2 linked regions of the Arabidopsis thaliana genome follow. The protein of the gene in region 1 interacts with the protein of each later gene in a pairwise test. Each region holds a gene or a part of one and is shown on either strand. Other genes may lie near its edges. The genes, in order: NF-YB7 and NF-YC10.

Region 1 (3,555 bases):
GAGGTAACAATTCAGCTAATGACTTGCTTTAATATAATCATAAATGATAGAAAAAGAAAAGATGTCAAAACAACATCCCATCTTTCACGTGTTTTGGACTCCTGATCATAAAATCGTATTCTACGAAGAATGTCGATCGGGTTTGATTATATGTAAAGAACAGAAGAGTGTTTACCTGATTTCTCACTTAGAGAAAATAAAGACTAAACCAGAAACTAAGCCTAAATGTTAGTTATGTTGACGCGGTCTTGTGTATTCCGCAGGAGGGGCTGATGGAGTATGTGGAAAACAACATGTGGAATCCAGAGTACCCGACTTTGGTCTACAAGGATGACTAAGTTTGGTTCCCAAAATGAATAAGTCTACTTTCTCTTATTTATATGTAAAAATTTATAATTGGGGTTGCTTTATACCCAATCAAATTCATAGCTACTGCTTTCTCTTGTTCTTATGTAAAAAAAAAAAAAATATATAATTGGGTTGTTTGTTATCCAATCAGATTCATAGCTTCCACTTTCTCTTATTTATATGTAAAAAAGAAGTTATATTCAATCAGATTCATAGCAGCAACATTTTACATACATCGTATTAGAAATGCATTTACTTTTATAACTTATAGTTTCAGGTCAAGATACTAAGAGTAGTGAGTGAGGAACAATTTGAAGTTCTTTAATTCAAGCAATCATCTTTATCAATCATAACATGAGTAAATGAATGAGAAACAATACACCATTCTCTTCCAATTAAGCTATTCTCTACTGGAAACCTTATAAGCTAGACCACTAACTCTCAAACCGTAGGTGGTAAGTATTCTAATCCAATTAGCAGCATGGAATTAGTTTCTACTGTTGTAAATCATGAGAGATTGCTATATTTGCTCGAGACGAACTAATCCGGAAAATATATGAAGACGAATTTCTGTTACACAAAACCATGGGTATACTGAAAATATCAAAATGTACGTGTCTAGTGTCTATATAGCAACAAATATATATAAGCATCAAGATGTACTCACAAAAGGTAAAGAAAAGCATATAATATGTGAAAAGAAAGAAGAAAAAAAGCAAATGTCTCTCTCACCAGTGAATTGAATCAATGTTATTATCATGCTGCTGCGGGAACTGTTTCTGCAATGATTTAGGAGAGAAAGCAATATTGGGAAAAGGTTGATGATCCACTGGTAGGAATGGAGAAGGATGATGATGAGAGATGTAACTAGTACATGACATGTTGTTATTGTTTTGGTCTTGTTCTTGAAACTGATAATTATGATGATTCTGTTGTTGAATCTGCTGTTGTTGTTGTCTTTGTTGTTGTTGTTTTGGGCTGTTAACTTTCTCTCCTTCGGTGTCTCTATATTTGCAGAGGTAGACCTTTAATGGAGCCACGTAGTCTTCGAAACCGAGAGTTGTGATAGCCCAAATGATATCATCTCCATTGATGGTCTTCCTCTTTTCTCTTTGACACTTGTCAGAAGCTTCACCAGTGACGAAACTAATGAACTCCGAGACACATTCTTGAACGGTTTCTTTAGCGTCTTTTGAGATCTTACCGTTACCGGGAAGAACTTTTTTCATGATCCTTCCGACATTCGCAATGGGAAGAAACCGGTCTTGTTCTTTGTTGTTGTTGTTGTTGTTGTTGGTCTTTGAAGAAGGGCTTCCTGGATTTGTTTCAGCTACTCCAGGAGACCCATGATCTTCTTCTGGGCTCTCCTCAGTCATATCTCTATCTCTTTGTTTTTTTTTGTGATTGATGTTAACCACATGTGATCAATCTGATTTTATGGTTAAGCTTAGTGCATGAAACTAGGCAACTTTTCTATTTATGGATACCTTGCCAACCAAATTTGGAACTCCATGCGACTCGCTCCTTTTTTTTTTTTTTTTTTTTTTTCTTTGTTATTTGCCAGATAATAAAGAAAAGTGTAAGAAAATAGCAATCATGTAACATATTGTCATCAAATAGTGTTTTCAATTTATTATTTTCCGTAGTATGTTTATTTAGTATGTAGACAACTATAAATTATCATGTCTCCATAATGCTTTGATTTATTGTATTATAGTAATTTCCTAAACTCTAGCCTGGTAAATATATATGGTGGTTATTTATCCGAGAATATTACACGTAAAGGCACTATTTTGAAACTTTGGCCACAAATAGGCACTTTAAAAGCATTAGTCACTTTAACTCAGTAGAATTACCCCTTTACCCTGAAATCGTTAGTTTAACAAAACCTAACAAATTTAGCCGGTTTTCGGTTTAATTTTTTAATCTCAATCTCTAAACTAAAACCAATTTGTGAGAAACCTCTTTTTCTCACCCAATCCTTCACGACGATTTTACAGTTTCATTTATCTGGGCAGTTAAAATCATCACAACGACGATAACATCATCTCGACTCCGGCGATCATCCCAACGAGTTTTCTACCGGCAAAGTCATTTCCTCGTCCCTCTCCCGTCGTTATCGTCAACAAAGCTTTCAATCGGCCGACATTAATTCGTCCTCTCCCGTCGTCGTCGTCAACACTTGTTCTCCCGTCATGGTCTTCATTTTCTTGTCTCTCAATCGATTCGTCGTCTCCGGCGTGTGCTAGTAACTTCTACTCGGTCCTCAAATGCAAGGTATTAATCTTCTCCAATCATTTTATTTGCTCTAATTATTCAACCGTGTGCTAATTTTATTTATAATATCCAACATTGTGAAGAGCTAATAGGTGAAGACATGAATGCTACGTTAGGTGATATTTCAAAAATGTTAATCACAAGACCTTATCTTCTTACCACAGACTTCGGCTTGCTTATCTCCTCATTGTTGACGGTGTCCTCGTATCCTCAAACCAACCTATTACGTCTACATTAAAATATGTAGAGATGTTGGCAGATTTGGAGAAGTTCCTTAACTGACTGAGGTCTACGTAACTGACTGTCTATACACATGTGGATAAATGGTCAAAGAAACATGGATAATATACTTTGGATTGACGTTTATTGTTCATGTATAAACTTATGTATTAGTATGAAACTATCATGTGAGTCTTTAGATGATCATGGACTGGACTGCTTGGACAATCATTAATGGACAAATATGTCTTTGATTTGCTGCGAATATGTTTATAGCTCGATAAAATTGTATCAACATGTCTATATACATGTGGATAAATGGTCAAAGAAACATGGATAATGTACTTTGGATTGATGTTTATTTGTAAATCTTAATATAAATGTCATCCAGTCATAGTGAATTATCCAATCAGACAAACGAATTAATACAGTTATGTTGTGGATGGATTCATATGGATACATTAACAATTATCTTTATCTTTCAACATGAAAAGCGTTTGATATGGATACATTAACCATATCGATAATCTTATCTCTATATTGCTGTTGAATGTTTTAGTGGTTTGTATCATATTATTTGTTTGTTCCATCCATAACAACATTTTTTCAAGTGCATCTAACATTTGATATCAGTTAACAATGCGAAGAAAAATAAATAATTTTGTGTATTTTGAACTATTGTTTATTTGGTAAATCATTCTAGCTAATTAT
Region 2 (4,651 bases), on another chromosome or scaffold:
AAAAGTTGAGCGAATTATTATTAACTAAATCGCCATTTTCACAGATTTGTGTGTCTAATAAAAGTAGACTTATGATTTTTTCGTAGTCGTTGTCTGATGATCATGATTCATGACGATGGTGGTGGTGGTGGTGATAGTAACATACATCATCTTTATGGATACAATTGAATGATCGTGAGATATTGTAACAGAGAGGGGGATACTTGCGTCACCAGCAGCAGGTGACTTGTGAATTTGTTGTGATAAAGATCACATTAATTTAAATAAAATCAGCTGTTCAATTTGCGGAATAAATAGTTGGCGAAAATTGTGCTTATAAATTTTACAACGGGATGATGAAGTACAATAAGCAAATCAATTTTGTGGATAAAGAAATGCATATGATTGTCTTAAGTTTGATTTAATGGTGTAGAATAAAAACATATAAAGACAAAAGTTGGTTGAAGTGTCAAACAGAGTGAACTCCGTAAACAGCCTCTTTTTCTTCACACCTTAAGAAACCATAGACGAAAAAAAGTTTACATATTTTTAGAAAATTTTCGATCTTTAAAAAATTTATGAGGAGATTTGTTAACCTTACATAATACTTGACAAGAGAATGATGAAATTTTTTTAGACAAAAAAAAACACGTTGAAAAGTCTCATATATGATGTCACTGATTTTTAGATCAAAATGTTGACACCCCAATTTGATCGGGAAGCAAGAAAACCCGGAGAACAGATATAAAATTAAATTGTTCTATTCTACACAAAACCTTGGGCATTTGTTAAATTTTAACTATTTACGGTTTATTTTAACCATCTCCACTGAGAATTTATCGTTACGTTTATGGAAATGACTACACACATCTTCGTTTTTCTAATCATTTATAGGTGTGTACTTGTTTTTCCTTCAAATTTTCATTGTTTCACTTGAAAAGTGCACTCTGAAAAATAGAAAGTACACTGAAAATTCATTGTTGTTTTCACTTAAAAAGTGCATACTGGACAACAAAAAACCTCAACAAACAAACGATCAAACAAGAGAGTGAGAGACCTAAAGATATTTTTTTCCACTAGCGCTTCAACAAAGAAAAAAGAAGAGAAGCTTTCATTTAAACGTGGTACGTTGAAGTATACATGATGATGTAATAAAGTACTACAATGACTCAACAACGCCAGCTCTTGGAATGGATATTAGTGGGAGAAGAAGATCCAACAACTTTATCAACCAGCTTCCTCAATCCCTTCTTCTTCTTCGGGGTCTTCTTTTCCTTATCCGTCTTATCTTCTCTCTTCCTCTCTTCTTCAACTTCTTCCTCAAACTGTGAACACAGCTTAAGCACTTGCTCCTCTACATTATTAAGTCTCTCTAGCAAAGTTCCTTTCCGCTCAGTCTCCTCCCTGACTTGTTCCATCGAACGGCAGTGTACCTTCCCTATGCTCCTCGGTGACGACAGATCCATTGACGATGGCTGAGTCCCACTAGATGGAGTCGATGGGCTCGAGCTTCTAGGCGAGCTTCCTTTCATCTCCTCTAACTTCCTCACCATGAAATCAATACGATCCAATCTTGAAAGTATCGGTTCTTCTACAACAGCCATTATTGATAACAAACGACAACGTTTCCAGAAGCTTTGGTTGTGTCGGAATAGTTGAAAGACAGTATCGAAAGCAAAACTCGTCTTCTCTTATTAATAGAGTAATAATTGGAGATTGAAAGAACACGAGCTAGGCCACGTTTAAATATTGCAGAGAGAGTTCATGGAGACTCACACGTGTTGTTGATAACACGTGGTGGTTCCAGCTTGCGGACACCTCTTCTGTCTCATACTCCAACATTACCCATTCTTCCTTATCTAATCCCTAAAATTTCTTTACATTATGTCGGGAACAAGATAATGTATTTTGGATGCTTGTATAAAAACATTATCTTATCCCAAGTACATTTACCCTAATTTATTTATTTCTCCATAAACTATACAATGTTTTACGAGGTGTATGCGAAACAGTGAAAGCATGTCCAATAATTTATTTTGAAGTAGTCGTCATGCATCTTCATTCCTCAACATCACCATGTCCATTCCTTAAATTGATCATATGATAAATGGGCCTAAAAGGCTCAAACAAATAAGCCCATGTAAATATCCATCGATTTATTCAGGCGAAAGGGTGAAACATACTGTAGTTCTAAAAAATTAATGGTGTCGTCAAAGAAACCCAAGGAGAAGAAGGCGAGGAGCGATGTCGTCGTCAATAAAGCGAGTGGTCGGAGTAAACGCAGCTCCGGTTCCAGAACGAAGAAGACGTCGAACAAGGTTAACATTGTGAAGAAGAAGCCGGAGATTTACGAGATCTCAGAATCATCGAGCAGTGACTCTGTGGAAGAAGCAATAAGAGGCGATGAGGCGAAGAAAAGTAACGGCGTCGTGAGCAAGAGGGGTAACGGAAAGAGTGTAGGAATTCCGACGAAGACGAGTAAAAATCGAGAAGAGGACGATGGAGGCGCGGAAGATGCTAAGATCAAGTTTCCGATGAATCGGATTCGGCGGATCATGAGAAGCGATAATTCTGCTCCTCAGATTATGCAGGATGCTGTATTTCTTGTCAACAAAGCCACGGTATAGTACTAATTAGACATATAAATTTAGCTTGAGGAACTTAATTTCACATGGTTTTTGATGAATTTGGGAGTATCAATTGCTAGTCAGTGTTAATTGGGCGTTATAATCTCGCAAATTGCTACAGTAATGAGATTGTTTCTGTTAATTAAGCCGGGAATTAACGTTATTGCTTCATCTCCATGTGTGTTTGATGAAACCGTAGTTACTGTGCTTGATTGTCATAGGTTTAGCTTTTACATCCAGAACTTGTAGACACCTAACACATGAGAAAGTCCTTATATATGATTTAGGTTCATATTTTCAAAGCTTAAGTGATGAGTGTTTAATTTTCCTGTATTGGAACTTGGCATTGTTTTTTCTTTCTTTTGATTTCATCTTGTGTTCATCGAAATTGATGTTCATTGCGTTTACAGTACATTAACTGGTTTTTGTGATTGAAGGAGATGTTCATTGAGCGGTTTTCTGAAGAAGCTTATGATAGTTCCGTCAAGGACAAAAAGAAATTCATCCACTACAAACACCTCTGTAAGCTCTAATCTCGTCCCTATTTGCCAATATCTGGTTACCTCAATACTGAATCCCATGTCGAAAATCTCATGCTGCTGCACCAATTGCTGAACTTAGGATTTCTGGCTTCTGCACAAGGGCCAGTAGTTAGTCTTAGGAAGAGTTTAGATAATGAGTTAATCCGTTCGTATCACTTGCAAGATTTGTTGCACTCCTAACATAATTGATGACACTGTCATTTCTACTCGTTGGCAGCATCCGTAGTGAGTAACGACCAGAGATACGAGTTCCTTGCAGGTACTTAATAACCTCTGAAGTATTCGTTTTATGAGTTCCATGTGGTTTACGAACAGCATTTTAATACCTGTAATATCTTGAATGCAGATAGTGTTCCCGAGAAACTTAAAGCAGAGGCCGCGTTGGAGGAATGGGAAAGAGGCATGACAGATGCAGGCTGAAATAAATCCGGTTGGAATCGAACTGAACCATTTGGATTCAAATTTGTGTCCCTGTCCTGGTTTATACTTCATAGGTTCCATCCGCCCGATCTTCACCTTTCTTATTAACCACTACTGAGATTGCACATATTTGATTTCTAGAATGTATACATTTTTTTTCTTGTTTCAAGTTAAAATTTGTAAGAGTTGTCGGAATTCTAATATCTTTCTTTAGTATCTATATATACATTTTTGCAGCCATTTTGTGAAATAAATTTTGTAGTTGGACTTATTTACAATGGCTGCCACTGGATTTTGATGTTTGTATTTGATAATTAGAAAGAAAATCTTCGAATTAAATATTTGACATTTAACAATCTTTCCAAAATCTCTCCACATTAACTAAACAGAGACAAAATTACAAAATATTTAGACAATGATTCATAAACATATCATAAATAAGATCAACATTAATAAAATAAATGGTTTTTTTTACTGGACGGGTTTGACAGGACGTTACTTAATAATAATTGTAAACTATAAAATAAAAATATTTTATAGTTAGATACAATTTGTAAACTTTTATATATACTAACATTAAAAAATAAATTGTTTCCGCGGTGTACCGCTGAGTTAAAATCTAGTTATAATTATAGGACAATTGGTCAGAAAATATTTAGAAAATATTTTTACCATAATTATTCTTACTAATCAAATTATAATATTAGTAAAACAAGCCAATTATCAAAAAAAGGTTTTTAAAATCATTCTTCTAGACCAATTTGAAAAAACTTTCCACATTTTCTTTTCTTTTTACACATTTTATAATTCTGTTATAAAATAAATAATCCAAAATAAGAGTTTGGGGGTAAAACTAAAAATTCAAATAATATGATGGGTATGAATAAAAATTAGGGTGGGTCCACCAGAAGCAGCGACTGAGAGCAGCTCTCAGCCGGGAAAATCCGACGATCCCTAAAACCCTTTTCCTTCTCTTTGGTTTGCTCGAGAAATCGTTTCCTGCCATGGATTCTGATGTGAGGAGGAAGATTAACAACACTACTCAGGGTTCGTCCCCTTCTCCGAAGCCCTCCAAGTTCTCTG

The links.
Region 2: the proteins of NF-YB7 (region 1) and NF-YC10 interact in a two-hybrid assay, tested with the Arabidopsis thaliana proteins (2 studies listed by BioGRID).

The regions. Positions count from the first base shown.
Region 1 is NC_003071.7:5,654,766-5,658,320, forward strand, and holds NF-YB7 (nuclear factor Y, subunit B7), read right to left. Parts: upstream 1,754-3,555; 5' UTR 1,725-1,753; coding exon 1,077-1,724; 3' UTR 626-1,076; downstream 1-625. Other genes in the region: NAD-ME1 (NAD-dependent malic enzyme 1), read left to right, coding at 1-3, 264-338.
Region 2 is NC_003070.9:2,472,440-2,477,090, reverse strand, and holds NF-YC10 (nuclear factor Y, subunit C10), read left to right. Parts: upstream 1-1,962; 5' UTR 1,963-2,180; coding exon 2,181-2,600; intron 2,601-3,043; coding exon 3,044-3,128; coding exon of another isoform or gene 3,129-3,139; exon of another isoform or gene 3,140-3,365; coding exon 3,366-3,407; intron 3,408-3,494; coding exon 3,495-3,568; 3' UTR 3,569-3,926; downstream 3,927-4,651. Other genes in the region: AT1G07985 (uncharacterized protein), read right to left, coding at 1,149-1,583; AT1G07970 (cytochrome B561, amino-terminal protein), read left to right, coding at 4,573-4,651.